4 linked regions of the Drosophila melanogaster genome follow. Changing the gene in region 3 together with the main gene of any one other region gives a genetic interaction. Each region holds a gene or a part of one and is shown on either strand. Other genes may lie near its edges. The genes, in order: Rel, Trpml, ClC-b and PGRP-LE.

Region 1 (6,174 bases), on a different chromosome or scaffold from region 3:
TGGAATGCGATCATAATATTATTTAATTGAATGAGATTACACTGTACTATTCCTTAAAACATTATTTAGTTGCGATATTCTTGAAAAAATATAGCAGGAAAGGTCATAAACCGGGAATGATAAGGGCTGTCGGTAAATCCCCGCCTGTCACTGCAGTTACGCAACAGTAATTCCCCCACAACACACACTTAGGCGCATAAGTACATGTATGATTCACCCACTTGTTTACCAAGCGGCGTGCGCGAGCGGCAATGAAAAATTAGTGATTCCCCATTCTTAGAATGTACTTTTTAATGCCGAGCTATCGATGGATCCCCTTTTGCTAGTGATCTCATGCAGGGCGCCGATGGTAATTGTTTGAGGGAACAAGTTTAGATTGCTTATAGAACTATTCTAAAGAATAGATTCCATGGAATAATAAAGGAAACTAAATAAATGCTAATAAAGGAAAATAAATTAATGCTCTGATATTTAAAAATAAAGCTTGCTATCCCAGGCATCCTAGTTTCGCGTATTTTTCATTCCACAAGAGAATAGTATTTGTAAAACTAAGGTACTTTATTGATCAACATTCAATACATAATCAAGTTGGGTTAACCAGTAGGGCGTAAGCCTGTGGATCCACTGCCTGCAGGGCACGAGCAAATGTGGAAAACTCTACAGAGGCTCCTTTTCTTTTCACGTGATCCAACAGATCCTCCGCGCCCAGCCATATAAAGGCGAACTGCTTCAGATGCGTCTGGCGGGCTAGTTGCATCCATTTCCGATCTTGGGGATCGGACCCATGTCCCAAAGGCTGATTCAGCAGCGAACAGAGCCGGTCGTAAATGAATTTGTTTTTGAGCAGCAACTGCAATTTGTTGTTGTCCATTTCGGTGTCTCTACTGGATTCATCTTTCTGTCTTCTTGGACCACTACTTAGGTCCAACTCCACGGAATCCTCGTCCTTTGTTTCGATGTCCATCTCCTCGGACTTGATCTCCAGCTGACCAGCATCGCTACTTTCGTCCGACGATGAATCGATCTCCTCCTTGACCTTACATGGAATCCAGGTCATGGCCAGTTCTCCCTTCTCCGGATACACATTCTTCAGCAGCTGGACCACCCGGTCATTTGCCTTGCGTTCGGCCAATTCCAAGGGAGTATGGCCGGCTGCATTTTGTGCCTGCAGGATGTCGGTAAGGTTTTCATTTTGGGCATCCAGAATGAGCACCAATAGCTCCACACTTTGCTCCAGAACTGCCATGTGGAGTGCATTATTACCATCCATTGTGTTGGCCACGCTAATCGAGGTCCGATCATAGCTGATCAGTTTCTTGGCCACATCGTACTTGTTCTGTCGAATGGCCATGTGCAAAGGCGTCAGACCATCGTCGTTCGTTAGCGAGAGGTCCAATTGTACGGTTGGCACTCCATTAAGGAAGCTTTCCACGCAGCTTAAGTGCTCCTCCTTGACGGCCACATGCAGTGGGGTATTTCCGGCATTATTCTTCAGATTTGGATTGCATCCCATACCCAGCAAAGGTCGTATGTAGTGCGCTCGGTCTTGCTGGCACGCCACATGCAGGGCACTATCACCGTCCGCATTCAAAGTGCTATTGACCACATCTTTCAGATTGAAGTAGTTCATCACCTGTATCGTCTGGATGGCCAGCTTCAGTTTGTCCTTTTTGTGGCTGATCACTTCGTGCAGGAGCGTGTCTCTATTGTAGTTATTCAGAGCATGCTCGATAAACCACTTCTCCACTTTGTGGTGCGAGATTTTTATTGGCGATATGCGGTCCTGTTTGTAAATTTCGAATAAGTCATCCAAGCATTTAATTGTACGATTTCGATGCGATGGCACTTCCGCCCGGTTATGACCATCGTGCTGCAACTCTCCCATGTCTAACTGGCAGATCTTCTCGAGATCAGAAGAGTTGTGCTCGATAAGTTTGCGGAAATCTTCGGAAGCAATAAATTCATTTAGATGCTTTTCGCGTCCGAACTCCTCACTTATAGTCTGATCATGCTGTGAAAGGTTTGGCAAGCCATTTGGTGGCTGCGCCAAGCCCAGCGTTTTGGGCAGATCCAGCGAGTTATTAGAGCTTTCTGTTCCCGAACTGCTGCTATTGGCAGAGGACCCGGTTCGTCGGCGTTTCCTCGACACAATTACGCTCCGTGGCTTGTAGCGGAAGGGCAGCGCCGGGAATGAGCGCTCATCGTCGGAGGGACGAATGAGCTCGATGTACACGTTGACCTCGCGGTCCACGTCCTTATCTTTGTACGGAGGCGTCTGGCACACAATGGCATATTGGTGGTGTACATCCGATTCGCGGAACTTTGCGTATGCCTCCCACACGGTTTCCCCGTCCTCATCCTCCTCGAAGAACCTCACTTTAATGTTCTTCTTGCTGACCTTTTCCACCAGTAGAATAAGCTCATCGTTGCCCATCACCCCGCCAGTGGGTTTGCTCAGGCGGACGATGCGAAGCTCTCCAGTTTGTGCCGACTTGCGGTTATTGATTGCATTGCTGTATACAGGCGGTGCAAGTGGAACCCATGCGCCGTTGTCCTCAATTTTAAAGGCCTCAAAGCAGAGCCGCACCTAAAGTTGGTGTTACTTTTTTAGTGAGTTCTTTGTTGCTTTTCAGTAAGTTAATTGCTTCGATGTTATATTGCTCAGTTATTTTAGCAGAGAAATTTATATAATTCGAGCTAAACGAGTAGATACTTTACAGACTGCTTAAATAAAAAGATTAAAAGGTAGCAAATGCAACCTATAATTAATTGACTAAAGCATTCTAAAGTGAGCAATTAAACGTGTGAATAATAAATGCAAACGTGCATATTCACCTCATCGAAGCAAGCAACTCGATATTGTTTACGCGCTGGTTTACCCACCTGGTTCAAGTTCATGTCCTTGGCCTCACGCTCTGTCTCCTGATGCAGTTCCTGTAGCTGTTTGTGGGACAACTCGCGGCGGTTCATCTGAAAGACCAGGCGATCCTGCTTCTTCTTGCACAGTTCCTCGAATATGTACTTCTTGGCGGTGTGTATGATGCCCATGTTGATAAATTGCGCCACATAGCCGCGCTCCTTGGACACGTGCAAATCATGCGGATCGCACACATCCCGATCGTCCTTGCGCACGACCAGCTGATGGGAATGTGGGCTGTCCAAGTTAGTTTGGAACAAACTGCACCGGATGACGGCGGGTCCATCGTAGTTGCACAGTGTAACCTCCGGGAAGGTTTTGGGCGTCCGCTTCGAATTGGCGCCATTTAGCGATCCATGTGTTCCATGCATCTCGCTCTTGTACCGAAAGCGGAACTTCTCCACCGGTTGCTCAACGATCCGCAGCTGCGGCACGTGTTTGATATCGCCGTCAGATGCCAGGCCATTTTGATGGTATCCAAAGTTTTGGGACGGTGGCACAGTGGCCGGAGCGGGCACAAAGTACTGGTGATCCATGTACATGTTGCCAAAACTGGTGACATTAGCAACGCCGAAACTAACGCCAGTGGAGTTTATTAAATTGGTAGCACCCAATTGGCAAATTCCGCCGTTGTTCAACAGCTGATTCTGGTATGGTGAGTTTGCCATTGGCGGCTGGTGTGGTGAATTGCCGCCGGGCAAATTAAGATTGGCGAAGTCCGTTTGCAGTTCCATGGTTTTCGGGGAGTGGGCTGGTGAAAAGGATCGGTTGGTGGAGTTGGGTGATGTACTGCTGCTATAGCCACTGGTGCTGGATGCATCGTTCATAAACATCACATTTTTCCCATTGTCCAGGTCGTAGTACTGATTCATGTTCATAGTCCGTATCAATCCAATATTTCTGATCAATAGCGTCTTAACAACTCAAAAGTGATCCGCTGCCTTCGCCGATCGGAACGCTAATGATCGAAACGAGCTCCGCCGATGGCTGACCATTCGTTTTAGGTACTTCCCCGATGTTCGGCGGATGGGAAATTATCTGCGGCGGCCACGTCGAGATGACTCACGGGTTTTTCTGGCGCACCACTCAGTGTGATTTTTTTGATCGGCTATACTATAAGCATGTACGGAATTCTGGATTCGCGGTTGTTGTTTACAGAGCGAAATCACACTGTTTATATGTATTCCACCCAACTAATACATATATGCAAATTTATGGAAAAACGACGCAGCGAATCGGGGAACTTTAGTGCGCCACTGCTGGAACGAAAATGAACGAAGCACTGCGCGAACACAAGTAGTATCGCTCACGAGTTGCGAGCAAAACGCTCGCTGCCCTGATAACAGGTTTAAGCTATTTGCGCCGAGCTTTCGGGTCAGCTTTTCACGGAAACTACGGTTCAAATTCATTTATTTGAATACCTGATTTCAACACACCGCGCACACTAAAATAAAAACAAGGCAGAGCTGCCACCGGCAGATAAAACGAGTTGGGTGGCAACGCCCCAATCAGATGTTCTACAAATCTAGGGATGGAAGCGTACGCGATTGTTTGTTCCCATTATTCTTGATTAATTTTTATAAATATAATTTAACCTATTTCGACAAAAAGATATAAAGGTATATAATACAAAATATTAATATAAATAATACAACACTTATATAAATATAAAGATATAAGGAATTTTAATACAAATTTATAATGAGAACCGGCGTAACAACTTATAACTGTGTTATAAAATAATAATAATTATGCAATGCAAGTACCGAATATTAGTATTATTAATAATATATTTTTACGCTTTCCATTGGCTTTTCCCTTAATTCACTTTCGTCACGCACTCATCTCTAGCGCACGCTTTGTTTTTCTTCGTATGATATTACGTTTTATTTCGGACCCGATTCACTTTCTTATGAGCATACACACCTGAAGTTAGACTTTCCGGCGTAATTCCGGGAAGCCAAGACCGAAATGGATCCTATAGAACGTCGCAACATGGTTGGAAAATTTAAAACACCGGAATGTTCTTTTATCCTAAGACACTTGTGCTAAATGATAAAAAAAAACTACATAAGCATGCGCCACTGAACTAATTTGCAATTCAGTCGGTTTCCACTCCCACTGGACCCGCGCACACACACACGCACACTCACGCAGAAACAGCTGATCTGTTGCCAGGCTGCACTTAGAGTATATATGTATGTATTTACGATCCCTTTGCACTTTTTGATGTGTTAATCAATCTTCTCACTTCGCCGTTCCTCTCTTACTCTTGTTACCATGCCAAGGTGTGTGGGTGTGTGTGTGTAAATGCTTTTACACCTTATCAGTTGACGATGAGTTTGTTTATATTGATAATCAATTAGCAGGAAAAACATAAACAAATCGGGGTCTTGACTTTGCAACCACTAGTCTGCGTCTAGACTAGAGTTATTAATAGGCAGGCTACAAAATTAGCTCTTTATGCGGACAAAGGAAAATTCGTTTTCTTGGCTTGATAAAAGCAAACGTGTCTTAAGAACGCCTATTCAAATTTCTTTGAAGGTCAATTATGTATTTTTTATGGATTTTTGTTAGCCAATTTTCACTAGCAGCATACCTTATTGTGACTTCTTTTGTTGGCTTTTGCGAAATTTTCCTGGTGGAAAATTCGAACTGCACTGATTGTCGGATACCGATGGACTGTATAGAACGAAACAGATCACTGAATGAGCCTCGCACGTGTTTGTATATTTTGGATAAAAGCTTTTCGGTTCAGCGCACTAAATATGCGTGTGCGAGCGAGCGCGACTTAAAAGCTTTAAACACTTGTCGATAAAAGTTTTGAACTGTGTGCATATAAATATGGCTTAAAACGGAACAAATACATATGTGCATATATGGATTTTCGATTTTGAAACAACGCGGAAAATAGCTAAACACATATTGAACATATTTTATTTTCTCAACATGAAAATTTTTAAAAGTTCGCCTTGTGTGCACAAATATTTATTTAGGAAATTCTTAAAGACGTGGAGAACAACTTTTGTTGCTTTTATTACCAGTTACATGATTACGATTTTGGTTGGGAATATTTGCTGTTCTAAAATTTCCGACACGAGTTATTTTTCAATAGTTTGTTTTTCTTCGACGCGGCGGATGACGAAATCTGATTTCCGATTACTGCACTCGGAGATTAAGTTGGATTCTGTTGGCCGGTGACGTCAATTTGCTCCACAGGGGGCCACCAACGTCTCCCACTGATAAGCCTTTGAGTT
Region 2 (6,146 bases), on a different chromosome or scaffold from region 3:
CTCGAATTTCCAATTAAGATTAAGTAAAATAAGTCTTTGGCTTGGACGGTTTCCGCTTCAACGAAGACGCACAGCATCTGCCTGATGAAATTTACGTCAATTGGAGAACCAGTTTTCCATTTCATTAAAATTTGCTCATCTCGTTTCGGCGAATTCTTGCAAAACATTCAATGAAATTCACGCTTAAAACCGCAAAAATTTAACATCGGCCAAATTATTAAATGTCCAATTACTGTGAAACCATTTATTCCTTTCCCTTTTATTGGGTTTTCTTTTCTTGCAATGCAATTATCCGATTGTAGAAATGTTTCGCTTGGTTTCTTGACACTTATTATGTTGACTGTTTTGGATGTATCCTTACCACAAAATAATTTAACGATTGTCTTCCTGGTCAAAACATTAAAACATTGCGCCACCTACATCTGAAGATAAAAGTAGACTTCATTGTTCCTCGTTTTGGTTAAGCTCACAATTAATTATTTTTGTTGTACACATTTTTGTTGCATATCGTTGTAATAAATTTTGGTTCAAAGTGCAATTTGTTCAATTCAATCGTTCTATAAACAGTTTATTGTGTTTGTGGTTTTTGGTTATAAATACAAAGTTTTCATTGTACACATAAAATATAGTTACCTAATGTTTCCTTATCTATGGCTTCTGAAATTGACACAAGTCGACAAAAATCGATGTTGTGTTATGCCGAACTAAACACTTTCTAAAATAACTATTTGCTTAGACTGCCAAAAATCTCATTTTGTCGACCAGTGCAGTTTTATACAATTTTTTGCTGTGACTTTCAGATTTCTATGAAAACTCGATTCGGATGCATTCGTTTTCATGGAAGATCTTGACCAGGCCCATGTCGATATCGCTAACAAAAATAGCTCCCTCTAATATAATTTCCATTGTTCTCCGATTCTGGTTCCACATTATATCACACACTTAATATCTCGCGTTACAAAAACAAATTTGCGACTTTGTGGTTTCCCAGCGTACAGCGTTGCTTGGTGCCCTTTCTTAGTCATTTTTCGGATTTTACTTTCGCAGAAATGACACAAATTCGCCTTACATTTAGTTTTTCCTTTTGGTCTTATACATTTTGTAATTTTTGTATTGAAGAAAAATGAATTTCAGTCAGAATTATATTTCTGCAAACCGAATTAAAGCCATTGCTGCGAAAGATAAAATCGGAACATGCCCGCTGTTTGTGATCAGAGCAGCTGCTTTTGGAATTTCTCATAGGTACGTACGTTATGGTTTCTCTTATCTCGGTTCAAGTGCTTTGGCAAATTAACAAACTAATACAAAAAGCTAACAACAAGTTTGACTACACACATAAAGCTGACAAAACAAAACAAAATGAAGACCTGCGGGTCGACATAGCGCACCCAGTTACTTCATAATACTAGAAAGGCTGGTGTAACCACTGTTGGGCTGGGCGGGCTCCTGATGCCGACCGCACCGTCCACAGCAGCAAATGCTCTTCACCACGTCAAGGAAGCTCGTCTGGTCGAAGTCGTCCAGGTCGGTCATGAAGACACCAGAACTAATGTCCTCTGCAGTGCGCGTTCCGACAAATGCCTTGAGATCGGTGGTGGGAAAGCCATCCTTGTAATACGCCTTTATCGTGTCGTAGGCATCCATTATGACGGCAATGAACAGCGACAGGACCACATAAATGTACAAGGATATGAACGAGTACAAGTAGATCTGGCAGAACCACCACAGCCAGGTGGCCTTGCTGGAAAGCGTGGCAAAGGTGGCGAACATATCATCACCGTTTATCAGCGCAAACAAGCACTCTGACGTTGTAGCCAGCGATCGGAACTTCATGTGATAGGGTCCCAAGATCAGCCAGCCGCAAAACACAAATCCAGCATAGATCAGCAAGGCGGCGATAAGGAAGCGCAGAATCTTTGGTGCCGCCTTTTTCAGCGTCAGTATCACAACGTTGTAGGTTTTGAAGAAGCCGAGGTAGCGCAGCACTCCGAACCAAACAAGCAGGTTGCCAATTCCCAGAAAAAGCGAGCAGGTATCCCATTGGTCCACCACCAAGTACCTTCCCTCGATTTGCTCTTTTAGAGCTGATCCAATGATCAAAAGGACGTCATTGAAAATGATCATGATGTACCTGCGAAAGCAAAACGGTTTATTATAGTCTGCAACCTTTCTGATAATTTTTGGGTTTACGTCGGCCTAACCTTCAGCATTATGGGTAATACTTGTTGCCAATATAGCCGAGGTTTTTATAACACAAAACAAAGGACTCACCAAAAGTTAACGAATTCCAGTCGGCCGTCAAAGCTCAGCTCCTTGCCGAATTGCGAACGGAAAAAGTTGACAGTTGTACATCTCAGCAGATATGCTCTCCACAGAGCCCTTGTACAGAGTGCAAAGGATAGTGCGCATGTTAGTAGGACGAATATATTAAGTACGCTTCGCAGCATGGAATCGAAATTGGCGTCTGATATGAAGTCCGTTGCTCCGTGGCACTTCAGCCGCGTCGCCTCCGCATCCAGTGAGAGCAGCATTTGCCCGTCATGGTCTCGGTTGTTAAACGTTATGGAAATGTCAAACCGAAAACAATCAGGAGCAGAAAGAGGTCCACCATTTGCCTTGAAATTAACCGTCTTTATCTTGAACGTCAACTGTGCGGAGACAAGAGATGCAAAATTGACCTCCACATCGCGCTGCCTGAGGTAATTCTCCACCCCAATGGTGGTTACGTTCGGAGGTAGTCGCTCACACACCTCGTCGATATGTGGATCGAAAATGTAGGACTCATTAAAGCCAAATATGGTGCCCTCTCTATAGTTCTGCAGGCAAAGCTTTAGTGGCGGCATTGTGTTATTGGGCGTCGGGTAGTCGTATGGTCCAATAGATCGGCTTACATTCGCGTAGCCATTGACTGCATACTGCACAGTGTCGAAGAACTCCGATTTGAGGTATAGAGCAAAGGGACCCACAGCAGGCGGATAACTCTCCACCTCCCGGGAAGAATCCCAGCCGCGCAGGAATAGATGTGAGAAGGCAAATCGGTTATCACCCGTGTAGTTGATGTGGTTATACCGCGAGTGGGCAAAAAGGCACAATTGCATCGTCACCAGAAAGATTTTTACAATCTAAGAGAAAAATTCTTGAGTTGCTAAGAAATGTTTATAGTATAACTTTTAAAGTTTCTATTTGCCTTTTGGCCTCAGGGGACGGACCTTTTCTTGGTCGCCAGTTCAGAGATCTAGAGGCTGGGCTATAAATAGAAGCCGAATTATGTTAGAGCATGCGTCAGACTATATTTATTGGGTATCTACAGGAAATCTAATTTAGTTGTAGACCTTAGAGACTAAGTGTAGACTTAAAGACTAGTCATAACATTTTCGCATTAATCATTAAAAATCGCACAAAAGAAATCCCCCTGACCACGATGTTTATCGCATATTAAATAACTTTTTGGGTTCTACAAAAGCGTCCACACGCAGTTTCTAGCCATAAAATTCTTGAATTTTCACTTTGTTTATTACGTATTGTGCTAACAATAGTTGGACCTATCAGATAAGGCATCGATAAGAGTGGAGGGGCTTAACAATGCAAGCAAAGTAATCAAGACTGTGTTGACTCTACCCCATTTTACATGCTCGAAATCTAGACAAACATTGAAGATCGGAGACGGCTGTTTAAAGGCGTCTGTAAATTAAGAGAAATGCCTAAATAAGTGGTTCAGATGTGTCACCCGAGTTCCGCCCCCAAACGCCGCGCATCACACGACTTCAATTAACTAGCATTCATCCAGATGTGAACTGCAAATGAAACCCGGATGTGAACTCACCTGCACAACGAACTTGTACGGAAATTTCCGCTTGGCCTGCCATTTCTCAATGGGGTTCATAAAGAAGAACTGAAGCTTCCTGCGCATTCGCTCCTCCTGGTAAGATGCAGCCGAGGATCCGGGGAATTCGGGCTGCTCCTCGCGGCCATCCACGGAGGGTGGGGCAGTGCCACTACCGGCGGATATGGGCATGGGCACCACCGGGGCCACCGGAGTGGACTGCAGCTGCACTTGGCGCCGCAGTATCCTGGTGTTCACGTACTCCTCGTCGCTCTCCGGCGACTGCTGCTGTTGCTGGGCAGCCTCGTAGCTGTCCGTGCGGCGCTTGACGGCCGGAGCTGTCTGGGCTCCGGGGCCGTAGCTCTGCATCTCGATGTGCTCCTCCTTCGTTGCGAGGTCAAGTCACCTGCGTTGTTGTTCTCCGTGCTAACTTTCTTTTGCCCGCCCAGTCGACATGCAAAAGAAGAATCCGCACAGGCGCAACAAGCAATCGGGGGAGGGGAGGTAAATATGTGTTCTTTTGCAATTAATACGCGACTTTTGCCAGCGAATTTATATTAAATACTGGCCAAAAGACCACGAAAATTGCTTTGTTTTCAATAGGTTTAAACGATTACAGATGTTTATTCGATATAATCGACTGTTCCAAATAGAGTTCAGCATCGATAGTTGCTTGCAATCATCGATTATTTAAATCGCGCGCCTTTTCATCGGTAGTCAAAATTCAAGTGCAGCACGGTGAAACATGAAACATGGAGAACTTTCCTATTTATTTATTTTTTTCCGTTATTTGGAGGTGAATTCCAAAAAAAATTAAATAATGTTAAGAAAGAAAAGATCTAACTATCTATGTACGAGTTCAGTTTATAGAACTCAGCTCTAAATATCGAAAAAATAATTAATTAAAAACTTCCCCGTATTCCAAATTCCGCCGTTCCTCTAACGCAGCTAACTCATCGACGCTACATGGACGTACATTCAAAATTATATTGAGGTCCATCCATTTATTATTCTTTTATGTTCAAGAAATATGACTATTTCCTTTTTTTATATTTTTGAATTTATGAGAAATCAACTTTATTTTGCGGTCTTGAAAACTGCTACCTCATTTTTGACATTGTATTTTACATTAAACATACGTACGTACTTACATATGTCAACATCTGTCACTAATGCTTAGTTATCTTATTAAATTGAAGTTAAAAAATAAACTAAAAGCGTAAAATAATACATAATCATTTGGAGCAAATATAATACTCACAGGAAAAAACAAATGTTTTCTTTCTGCCCAAGAAGAACTCTTGATAAAACCCACGAAGTCTTCCCATACGTTTCACTGTTCCCAGTGCATAAACATTTCAAAAGGAGTTCCAATAAACTAAAAGCGTAAAATAATACATAATCATTTGGAGCAAATATAATACTCACAGGAAAAAACAAATGTTTTCTTTCTGCCCAAGAAGAACTCTTGATAAAACCCACGAAGTCTTCCCATACGTTTCACTGTTCCCAGTGCATAAACATTTCAAAAGGAGTTCCAATGAATCGATGGCTTTAGTTGCAAGAACTTACAGAGATCTTATCGTGAGATCACACTTACAGTGATCTCTTATATGCTTAACATGTTTTTTTGTATTCACCACGACTTCAGAAATGTTTGTCGAAACACAAAACACAACTGTTCCCAGTGCTCGGAATATTTTAAAAATGTTTCTTTTAGAAGAAGTGTTCTCCAAGTTTCTAGTCTTTCCCGCAGGATTCACCCTCGTATCTACCATCTATTGAACATTTTGCACCATTTAAGCATATCTGGACAAACACACTTTTAATAGTTTCTCGTTTGTATTTATATATGGCAAATTTAACAAATTTTCATTTAAAAATATACATACATACATACATACAGCTAAAACACCTCTCATCGGGCGCATTTTCGCTCTTCTCTGCTCACAATTCGCGTTCAATTAATTATAATTATTATTTTAGCTTTAGAGACTTAAATATTACGTACAATCACACGCACTTAACTACGTACTAGCAAAACACATTGATACATTACATTTTTCACGCTCGTTTTGATTTTCAAATACATAAATTAACTAGTTTCTGTTTAAGCATAATTTGTTTGCTGCTGCGCATCGTGTATGGAAAGCAGAAAATTTCGATTACATTTACATAAAATATTTGATTTTGATTCTCCATCGTCGTATAAATATGTGTGTCGTTGTGTTTATGTGTTACATTTACAAACGTACATTTAGATGTGTGGGTGTGTGTTTATTTTATATAAAACAATAACTAGTCTGAAGACCTTGTGACTAGA
Region 3 (5,593 bases):
CGACTGTTTAATGTCCGGCATGGCATTGGGCTCTGGAAATTGATTGATGAACGAAGGAAAGCTCTTTTTCATATTGTACAAAAAGTCATTTAATCTTAGGCGAAAGTGCTCCTAAATAAGAATTTTATAGTCTTACGTTGCATAAATTTTAGAATTAATTTTACGACGGCAGCGTCCTGTTTTATTGATGCGCTTTTAGAATTAAGATATAAAGTTTATACGCCTAGAGCCACATACACCTTAAACACAATCGCAAGACCACAATTTAAGTCACGGATATTTTTAACGATTTTGCACTAGAAACCGATCGAGACAGTTGTGCTAGTAACTAGGAACCAGAACACGTCTGTTTAGTGTTTTAAGATTTTTTAAAACCAAGCTCTTTTACTTTATCATAAGTGTAACGTATTTTTAATACAAAACAAACAAAACACCCACATACAAACCGTGTACAATTCCTTGTGAATACTATTGTTTATATATTTTACGCGTTTAAGGTTATTAAGTTAAATTGTAAAAATGTATTGCGCAGATATTAAAACAAAAGTTTATCAAAAGTGAATGGAAAATATTTAATTGATTAGACCCACTTTTGGCATTCGATAAATTTTCGTAAAAGTGCATTTAATGCAAAGTTACTTGTAAATAAAATCCCTTCTCGTTATAATGCCAGCAATGCGATTCTCATGGTTGATGACCAGCAAATGACGCAACCCCAATGCGCGGAATATCTGAAAAATTCTAGGCACCGAATCGTGCTAAGAAACAATTGGATAATCAAACAGTGCTTGGAGAAATTTCAAAAAATGTAACATTACTCACCGGATTGACTCGAATAGGTGATGGATTCATAAACATGGACAAGTCCACAGTGTAATTGATTTTCTCATCTAGCTTGCGAACACTCTGAAATAGGAAACTTGAAATATTTTCCTTAATAATGTTGTAATACAAATCAATACCTTGATTGATGGAAAACGGGGATAGAGGTCCCTGAATGTCTGAATTGAAGTTTCTGGCAGCCAGAATCGTTTGTTCTCCACATACAGGGATTTGAGCAAAATAACAATCAGTTGCGAGCGCAAGATGATGCCACAAACGCGACCCTCCGATCGACGATCCTGCAAGATTGGTAAAATACTAATAACATGGAGTTATGTGAAATTTCTTTGATCTTACTCCGCAAACATCATCGACCACCGGAAATCCGTTGTGGTCGCACTTCTTGAGCATCTCATATATGTAATTAGCGGAATCGCGGATCTTGATACAGATCACTGGTTTGCTTAGAATTTCGCGAGCTTTCAGACCCTTGTATTGCGGCAATGGCTCCCAGGTCAGCATGGGCACATGATTTACTTGGATCTGCGTATCGTAGATGCCCTCGTTGAAGTAGTCACCGACCCACTTGGCGCTGATAAGTGCAATGATAAGGGGAAAGAAGAAGGACGTCTCCACGCCAGTGGTTTCCATCAATATAACTGACAAGCTAATGGTCATTCGAAGCACTCCACCCAAGTTAGCTGCAGCTCCAATTAGGGCATATTTACCCGGATGCAGGAACTCCTGAAAATCATGGTTTAGTTTATGGAAAATGGTTTGGTTTACATTGCTTACCGCCTGTGGGAATACATAGTAGGTAAGCATGGCTAAAAGACGACCCCATGCTGCGCCGACCAGAGCAGTTGGGATGAAGACACCCAAGGACACATTGAGACCAAACGTAGCACAGGACAGCACATAGTAAACAACTGTGAAAAGGGCTAGCGTCAGAATCTTATGGGATCCTAAGAAACCAAAACAAAAATGATTAAAACTATAAGAGTATATTCTTAAAAATAACCACCTGGAGGATCGTGGAACAAGGATCTGACTGTAGCCTCTGGCGTTTGAAACCACAAGGCAGCCACGGCATTATATTCGTTGTCCTCGCAGAAAAGCTGTACAGGATTGTTGGTCGGATCGTTGCCCAGTGGACGACAATCGTTGATAAAGTAAATCATTAGACAAGCCAAAGTTACGCCCATCATTGCCACTACAACAGCTTCGAGAACCTTTCCGATTTTCCACGGAATAAAGCGCTTCCGAAATTTATTGATTTTGGTATTAAGAGAGTTCCAGGCGGCTCCGAGTAATCCACCAGTTACTCCCAGAATCATGAAGATGGGCAGCTCAAAGTAGTCGAATTTCAAAGGCGTATCAAACTTGCCCAAGTTGAAGAGACCCGTGAACGTGAAATCGTTTAGGCCATGGTAAGCTGATAAAACGATATTCAAGGTGAATACGCTGATAATGGAGGCCACTAAGGTGCGCCAAATGAGATTCTGGTTCCAGAAACTAGCCGCTTCCTCCAGAGAAAAAAGCATGCCTCCAATTGGAGCTCCAAAAGCAGCTGAAACTCCCGCGGCTCCGCCTCCAAGAACGAAATCTCTTTTCTCGTGATCATCCCGAAAAGCCTTGAATATGCGGAAATCTTTCAAAAACGTGGTGCTTTTGCCCTGCGAAATTCCGGCGGCGACGACAGCTCCAGCATGTATCATTGGACCCTCCTTTCCTCCGGCCAAACCACCCACCACCGAGGTTATAACTCCAATCGCCTTCACAGCCAGCGTTTTAATTCTTACAATACGCGGTATTTTGACGCCGTTCAGGTAGCTCTTCACCTGTGGAATCCCACTGCCAGCGGTTATGGGCTCAATGTAGGTGACCATGGCTGCTCCAAAGGCCACGGGCACAATGCTGAAGAGGAGCCAGTAAAGGTAGGGAATCAGCAGATCTCTATCGGAAGCATCGCTTAAGGGTACATTTTCCTTAACAGCTGCAAGTGAAACATTTAGTATGCATTAATAAATGTTCACAACTTAATTTTCCATGAAATAAATTTAGCAAAAGGAAAACTAAAACATACAATTGTAGAGGAAGGTGTACTTTCGTATCGAGAGCTCTTCGATTATAATATCTATGGTGCAAGCTATCAGTGCGGTGATAATGCCAATCTGTATAAAAATGATCCATCTTATGATGTCCTTGCGCAGGGAGAATCGCTCTGTCAGCCTCTTTCGCTGCTCATCCTGGAAGAGCGTGTTCTCGCATACTTCGTAGTCCAAGCTCTGTAAGTGCATAAGTTTTTGATAATCGTATCGGTCAAGCTCCACACCCTATGTGTACATATGTACGAGTATGTATGTACGTACCTCGTAATTGGGCGTGGATGCGGCTGCTGTTCGGGATCTGAGGTGGAAAATGGGTTCGCTGCTGTTGATGTTCCTATTCGGGCTGCCTGCACTTCCATTAATTGGCTTATAAACAAAGCGCATAAGGAAATAAAATTAATATGAGTGTTTAGAGATAAGCCCGCTCAAAAACCGAAGCGGTGATTCATTCTAATTTAGTTTACCTTAGTTACATGGTTGGATACTCACAATATCGGGAGGCACTGAATTGTTGCCCATTAGCAGTGGCTGAGAATCATCCAATAAGTGGTTATTCCCCGAAAGCGTCGCTCTTCTAGCTAAAGCACTAGTGGAGGGCTCTTCTCTTTGGTGGAGTCCGAAATCCTGCACAGCTTTGGAAGTTGGACCTGCCTCCTTTTGGAGTATGATTGGATCATCCTCAGCGCTTGATTCGCCATCGAGGGTAATCAGTGCCTTCCTATCGTCCATTATTTAAAACAATAATAACACAAGTGACCGACAACAAACAATAAAAAGCAACAGAACAAAAGCCGAATGAGAGTATGGTTACTCGTGGGCCATTGAGAAATACCAAAATCTCGATTATTCGGCAACTTAGTATTTTATGGAGGGCTTTTTTCGCAGATAATCTCGAAAGCGAATCTTTAAAGATACTTTATTGAAAAAAGCAAAATATAACCATTCTTTAGTGGTCCTAAATCGAAAACTTCTGTAGATTCTTTAATTTTAGAAATATATTTAGGACAGCCTTAGTCTTTTATCAATGCATTGTTTTTGAACGTTTTGCCATTTGGTTTGGATTCAGAATCTGGCGCGGAGTCTAGTTGGTTTCCTTATTGAGCCTCTTACAGATTCGGCTCAAACTGAAAATTCGGATTTAGAAACTTGAACTTGGCTGCCTCCAACAACATGCGGTTGTGCTCGATGCGGTTGCGGCAGTGCAACTCCTGACTTATTTGGGCCATCGAGCGCTCCAGGCGCTGCAGCACATCTCGCTGAGGATGCTCCAAGAAGTGGGCCATGGATAGCGATTGTGAGAGGGCCTGGGAGCGTGAGTACTCCATGGAGACGTCCTCCATCGATGAAGCCAGCGATCCACTGGATTTACTCTCGCCCTGCACTGGTGGAACCTGGCTCAAATCTATGGCAGCCGGCTGATCAGCCAGGAATGACGGACCACTACCCTGCTCAGGCTTGACAGGACGACCCAGAAAGGAGACACTGGCAGGAGTCGAACCGCCGGGCAGTGTTTCCACCGAGATGTTTGAGACCTGAAAAAATACATGTAAATAGGCTTCATTAAATATTGAAATATGTTCAAAACTTGATATTTAAAATATGATCTACAAAATATATATGTATATTTATTTGCGAATAAAGGAAACTTACGTTCTGAACGACAATTCCCAAGTTCTTAGGGATATTTGGTAGATTAGCTTTATCTGAAGTGGAATCTTCGAGCTGGAAAAAAACGGAGATATCAAGCTCACCAATACATGTCACAACAATACATTAAGCTATTTCGCTATCCGAACAGATACAGTATTCGATTCTAACGGTAAAAGGCAAGGTGAGAGATGTCGACATCTCGCTTCTGCCCACCCAAAACATACCTTGCGGGTAGCTCCCTCCTGCTCTTGCTTGTGGCGCTGAAAAACCGTTTTGATTTTCAGCTCGTGGCTTTCGTTTCCAGACGGAACAGCAGCTTGCATGTCCACGAACACCCCGGAATCGCTCTGCGCAGCTGTACTTGTGGCTGCAACCGCAACTGGTGCCTTCTTGCGCGACTTGGCAAAGCGTCGGTTTTTCATGATCCGATCACGGCGTTCTTCCAGTGCAGCCACCTTCATTTCATGGAGTTTGCCCAACAAGGAACTATGACGTCTCTGCGCACGGGGATTGCCAAAATAAAACCACGTTAATAACTTTCATTTACCCCTAGCAAATGGGTGGAATCCCTACCTTGATGTGCATGTGAAAGTTCCCGGTGGAGCGGACACTGCCGCGATAAATCCGATCCGGCGGACAGTAGCAGCACTTGACCGTAACATTGTCGCCCACCTGCTTCTCGATGCGATACAGTTCCCCGTTCAGGATGTACGGCACATGCTTTTTCAGCTCCATCTTTTCTTCAGAACCGTCCAAGTTTACGGACATTTTTCAGTTTCATAAATGGGAATGAACCTGCTAGCTTTCGAGAACGAAGGGAATAGGAGGAATGTCAAAGCAGAGGAAGATACAGATTCTCTCCTCGCAGGAATAGGAAGAAAATGGAATGAAAGAGAGAACTAGGCAAAAGCAACGGTTCTTGACTAACCGAAGATAGACAAAAAGAATAGAAAAAGGCCCCTTTGTACGTTTAAAGTTGGCAACATTATTAGTGTTAAAAAATTGGTCAC
Region 4 (4,886 bases), on a different chromosome or scaffold from region 3:
TTCAGTATGTAGCAGAATCGCGCTTACCAGAACCTTCCGAGAGTGAAATTAGTCCAATTAACACTGAGTCGCCCGGCAACACCGAAGAATTGCCCTGGTGCAATATTTGTAACGAAGACGCCGACTTCCGATGCCACGGATGTGGTGGGGAACTCTTTTGCACTCTATGCTATAAGGAGTGCCACGATGATGACGAGGAGTACCGTGCTCACGTTAAGGAAAAGTATTCGGCTCCGCCAAAGCTTAAAGAAAATCACTTCTAATTGTTAATTGTTTACTTGACTGTACGCAAATTTTTGTTTAATTATAGATTGTTTTCAGCAAATGCATTACTATTGTCTGTATTTATGTGGTGCTAGCTCGCTCATATTTGTGCAGTATAATTGTTGCTTCTCTTTCAGTTGTGAATTAAAACAGGTAGGCGATGTTGGTTCCGAAACATCTTGTGGTTTTTCCACCTTTCAGCGCTGCAAAAACTATACCAAAATATAAAGTAACTTAACGAAACTGCCAGTAGCTGGAAAATTTATAAACAGGTGATTTAATGTTCAACATTATAAACGTAACTCGGGTGCATTTAAGTCTAAGTATGTGAAATGGTGCTCTTCTTTTGTCCCTCATTGTTCCTCCTCCTCGATATTGTAAAAGTGGGGCCATGTCTGTATCTCCTCGTACAATCGCCGACCAGGACTCTCCGTCGAATTGCACTGGCAGTGACAAATTAATCTATAGTCGGTGGATATGTGACCATCCTCAACGCCGCGGGCCAACAGATTGCGGCACATATTCAAGGCGTCTGCCGTCGGGAGTTCTTTCATGAAGCATCCAATGAAACTGATCCCCAGCGAGATCCTGTTGTAACCCAGAGTGTGGGCGCCCACCGTTTTCCATCCGCGTCCCTCGTAGATGTTGCCATCGCAGCCGACCAGGAAGTTGTACGCAATGTCATTCCATCCCCGCGACTCAATGTGGAAGCACTGAAATATATATACATAATTATTATATAGTTCGGAGCATATATGATTTAATTTCGCTAACGAAATACTTACCTGCATGTCACGGATAAGTCTTACGTTGATCGCCCGCTTTTCTGAACTCTCTGTAGCTGTGTGTACTGCGTGGTAAAACAATATTTGTTAATCAAGGTTTTAAATATATTCGAAAAGAGTTATAATACGATATAATCTTAGGTTAGTGAGTGCTAAGCATGATGGTCAGATCAAATAGTATAAATTGTTTTAATTATTGCGTCATACTTTTACAGACAACTTGATTTATAATCAGTTGGCAAAAAAATGGTTAAAACGTGCAGCAAACTTGAATACTCACAGATAACCACATATTTAACAGGCAGTTGCAAGGGCAGTGGCTCGTCCATGGGCTTCTGTGCTAGCCACGAAGAGCGCGGAATGATGGCGGACAGCTCCTTGGGTATTTTGAATTCTGTAAGTGAAATCGGTATCCTATGGTTAACGTGTATGCATCCCCTGGTGAATGATAGCTTACTCTGGCGCCTGATGAACACATCCGAGCGCACCCTCTCCTCCGACTCGTCCTGATAGTCGTCTTCGAAATGTGTCGGAGTTTTGGGAGCGTTATCTCTCGGTGGTGAAACATGCCGCCGATCTCTTCGGTTTTGAGTAAGGCCATCGGCTATGATTTGTATATTTCCATTAATATTGGTAACATTGCCGATATGGACGTTCGTGGAGTTGCTTATATTAACGTTGCCCAAAGTCTGAATGCTGTTGATCGAGTTCATAAGGTCCCTTATGGTGTCGCTGATGATCGAATGCTTTTTGGTAGCTTTAAGGTGGGGATATATTGAAAGTGTTATAAATTGAATATAGAAACTTGATCTTGAGTACTACGCACCGATTTGAGTGCCTAGTGTCATAGTGCTGATTTCTTCACTGGTATTTTGGTCGGCATCCTCCTCTTCCTCGGTATAATCGTAGTCCAAGCTGTCCACAACCGAGGACTCTGCAATGGACTCCAGTTCCTCGTCCTCCTGACTAGCCAACCATTCGCGAGTCCGCTCCTGGCTCAACTTTTTGATTCCCGATTCGGACATGTCCGTAGTTTTGGCTTCTGTTTGCTGCCAATAAATGCGCGTGTATCTCTCGGCTGGCCCTTACTTTGTTTATCAATATTGTGAGTTAGAACTGCTCTATTCTCTGATTAGTGTTCGTGTCGTGTCCACCTTACACGATAAGATAAGGACGTTCCACAGGCTATCCACCATTATATGCGCAGGTGCCGTGGTGAAATGCTTTTTTGCATATCAGTCCACTTGGGGCTTTTTTTTTGCATATTTAGTCATGTGTATTAATTATTGTCATGGATATCGAGGATCAGTCTAGATATCGATAAGTATTATCGATGTTCGCATTTAGAACAATTCCACTGCCTTTGAAGGGAGCTTAGCGGTATCGTACATACAGTGGGCCGCATCCACTAGTTGAGTTTCAGATTTCGATAAGTATTTGATTAACCATATAAAGCTTACAAAAATTTAAATACGAACAAAAAAAAATAGTTTAAATTATCCCTCTTTAACCGTTTTGGACATATATTTCTGTATACATATATATATTGTTCTATGAAAATATATAAATATATATAAATAAATAAATAAGTAAATAAATATATATAAATAAATAAATATAATATATATAAATATATAAACATACAAATGCTTTGTCCAGATCCGAAAACCCCTTATCACTGGCTAAAATATAACCAGTTTGGTTCACCAATCAAATCGACTGGAGGTACAATGCACCCAGTGCTGGAAAAGATGAGCTTTCCAACACTCTTGCCTATATTGGGCTTTAATGCTAAGCAGTTAACTGCAACACTGCACCGTGTTTGATAATAAACCTGTAGAGGCAGGTGATTACACCCAAGTCAGCCCATCTTTAAGCATTAGTCATGGGGCTAGAGGTACTCAGATAAACCACCAAAACCTAATTCATGCGCTGTAAACATTCACTCGACCACTCTCGCGTATGCGCTGTTCTTCCCTCCAAGTCTCTCAATTACTTTCTTTATTTTTATATTTAGTTACTGCTGGCTATTCAAGCCAACCAAAGAGCTACCACAACACGGATTTAATAGTCACTTAGAGCCATTAAAAGAGAATAAACTAAAATGTAACCAACTTATAAACTAATTTTATACATTGCTTAAGCGATAGTTTGACGTATAAAACTGAGGAGCTTATATTTATTACTTTTGACTGCACAGTGGAATGCATTCAAAGGTCTGTTTATGTTTTTGTTCCGGTGTGACCGTATTCCGAACAGGAACACAGTCTAATTTAAAAGTTAAATTAAAAGCATATCAAAAAGTGAAATAAACTTTTTAAATATCTTCGCTAATTGGACAAACAGCTTAAATATATTGTAATCAACAGATAACCTAATCAAATATACCAAAATAGGCATTTTTTAGTGGAGTTCAAAAAAGGGCGGCAATCACCTTCAGCTGAATCAGCTGTCAAATAAAGTGAAGCTTTGGTATTAAAGCTTTTAACATAATTTAGGGGAAGAGAAAACATAAAAATGTATGAAAATGAAAGAGAAAAACGGATTCTCTTTATGTAAAATCTTAGAATTAACGCTCTCTTAGGTTCCACAATTGGTTCCGATTGGAACCGCGCACAAAGAGAGCGAGGAAGAGAGCGAGAGAGTTTCGAGTCGAATTGGAATGGCCAGAAAAATATATTTCTGCTTTCAGTTTCGAAAAATTTTTCGATGGAAGCAGCCGAGTGCGAATGCGAATGCTCAATGAGAAGAGCTTTTACTGTTTTACTTTTTGCCTGAAATACATTTTGAGATAATTTCTTATTGGTAGTTCTGTTTATGCCATCGCTTGCGTCTGTCTGTGTTATTTCGATTGCGAGAGCTAGTTAACATTAGTTAAAATTAAAACAAACGCCAGCCATAAGATATAATCGAATTGCGGTTTTTTCTTCTCGTACCGAATTTCCATCCACATCCGCATCCACCATCCGCCATCCGCCAAACCCATCCCGTTCCGTTTGTTCGTCGCTATCCGTCGGATATGTTGTTCTATCGGTGTACCGTACAAGTACAAGTTCGTACCCAGTCCAAAGCCAAACAGATTGCGCCGTGTGCCGGTAAAAATAAGCGCAAAGTTTGAGAAAAACCATCAACATCAGATGATGTGCCCTGGAGGAAAAAACGTCGCGGATTTAATGAAATCTTAAATAATGGGTTCGCTTTAGCACAATTCGACGTTGCATTCGGCCAGCGGTGTGTTGTGTAAACAAAGTTGTAGTTATAGTTTTAGTTTAATTAGCTTCGCATAAGCTGCAACCGGATCTGAAACAGACCGTGGAAACAAAAAAATAATAATAATAATAATAATAATAATAATTGCATTTCATGTATGCCAGTGTAAATTTGCGTTCGTGTGTGCTAAGTTTACATATAGAGAGCGTGGAGTGGATTGGGATTGGATAGTGTTGGATTGGATAGTATCCCTATCCGATTCGCGCCGTTATTGTTAATGCGCAGGTAATTCGGAGCGCTTTTCGGCCATTCTGCCCAATACCAATATTTTGTTCTACATCGTGTTTTTATTTTTATTTTTTTTCCAACATTTTTTTTGCTGTGCTGTGCAGTGCTGTATGCGTTTATTTGACAGCTTATGAATCACCCACAAAGATTTATTTGTGCTGATTGCAGCACAACTGTTGCACCCCATTCAAAAAAAAAACAAATAAATAAATTAATAATCACAAAAAACACCCGCACATCGTCTTCGGGAAAACTACTGAAGCGAGTTGGGCCAGCAAAAAAAAAAAAAATACGTATAAATACAAATAAACAAATAATACCCAAGCCATTGTTCCCCCT

Evidence for each region.
Region 1: of ClC-b (region 3) and Rel, changing one suppresses a phenotype caused by changing the other (phenotypic suppression), as found in Drosophila melanogaster (one study listed by BioGRID).
Region 2: of ClC-b (region 3) and Trpml, changing one suppresses a phenotype caused by changing the other (phenotypic suppression), as found in Drosophila melanogaster (one study listed by BioGRID).
Region 4: of ClC-b (region 3) and PGRP-LE, changing one suppresses a phenotype caused by changing the other (phenotypic suppression), as found in Drosophila melanogaster (one study listed by BioGRID).

The regions. Positions count from the first base shown.
Region 1 is NT_033777.3:9,043,641-9,049,814, forward strand, and holds Rel (relish), read right to left. Parts: upstream 4,338-6,174; 5' UTR 3,796-4,337; coding exon 2,884-3,795; intron 2,588-2,883; coding exon 584-2,587; 3' UTR 543-583; downstream 1-542. UniProt on the Drosophila melanogaster protein: Transcription factor that plays a key role in the humoral immune response as part of the peptidoglycan recognition protein (IMD) signaling pathway.
Region 2 is NT_037436.4:19,713,877-19,720,022, forward strand, and holds Trpml (transient receptor potential cation channel, mucolipin), read right to left. Parts: upstream 4,453-6,146; 5' UTR 4,193-4,452; coding exon 3,824-4,192; intron 3,123-3,823; coding exon 2,272-3,122; intron 2,132-2,271; coding exon 1,393-2,131; 3' UTR 542-1,392; downstream 1-541.
Region 3 is NT_033778.4:12,570,207-12,575,799, reverse strand, and holds ClC-b (chloride channel-b), read right to left. Parts: upstream 3,733-5,593; 5' UTR 3,663-3,732; coding exon 3,423-3,662; intron 3,300-3,422; coding exon 3,195-3,299; intron 3,111-3,194; coding exon 2,909-3,110; intron 2,819-2,908; coding exon 1,847-2,818; intron 1,788-1,846; coding exon 1,618-1,787; intron 1,567-1,617; coding exon 1,180-1,566; intron 1,122-1,179; coding exon 963-1,121; intron 907-962; coding exon 823-906; intron 759-822; coding exon 636-758; 3' UTR 501-635; downstream 1-500. Other genes in the region: stil (stand still), read right to left, coding at 4,040-4,465, 4,584-4,655, 4,808-5,080, 5,157-5,351.
Region 4 is NC_004354.4:15,800,634-15,805,519, forward strand, and holds PGRP-LE (peptidoglycan recognition protein LE), read right to left. Parts: upstream 3,248-4,886; 5' UTR 2,694-3,247; intron 2,458-2,693; 5' UTR 2,075-2,457; coding exon 1,876-2,074; intron 1,807-1,875; coding exon 1,507-1,806; intron 1,444-1,506; coding exon 1,330-1,443; intron 1,115-1,329; coding exon 1,050-1,114; intron 978-1,049; coding exon 618-977; 3' UTR 520-617; downstream 1-519. Other genes in the region: CG15602 (uncharacterized protein), read left to right, coding at 6-263. UniProt on the Drosophila melanogaster protein: Peptidoglycan-recognition protein that plays a key role in innate immunity by binding to murein peptidoglycans (PGN) of Gram-negative bacteria and activating the imd/Relish pathway. Has no activity against on Gram-positive bacteria.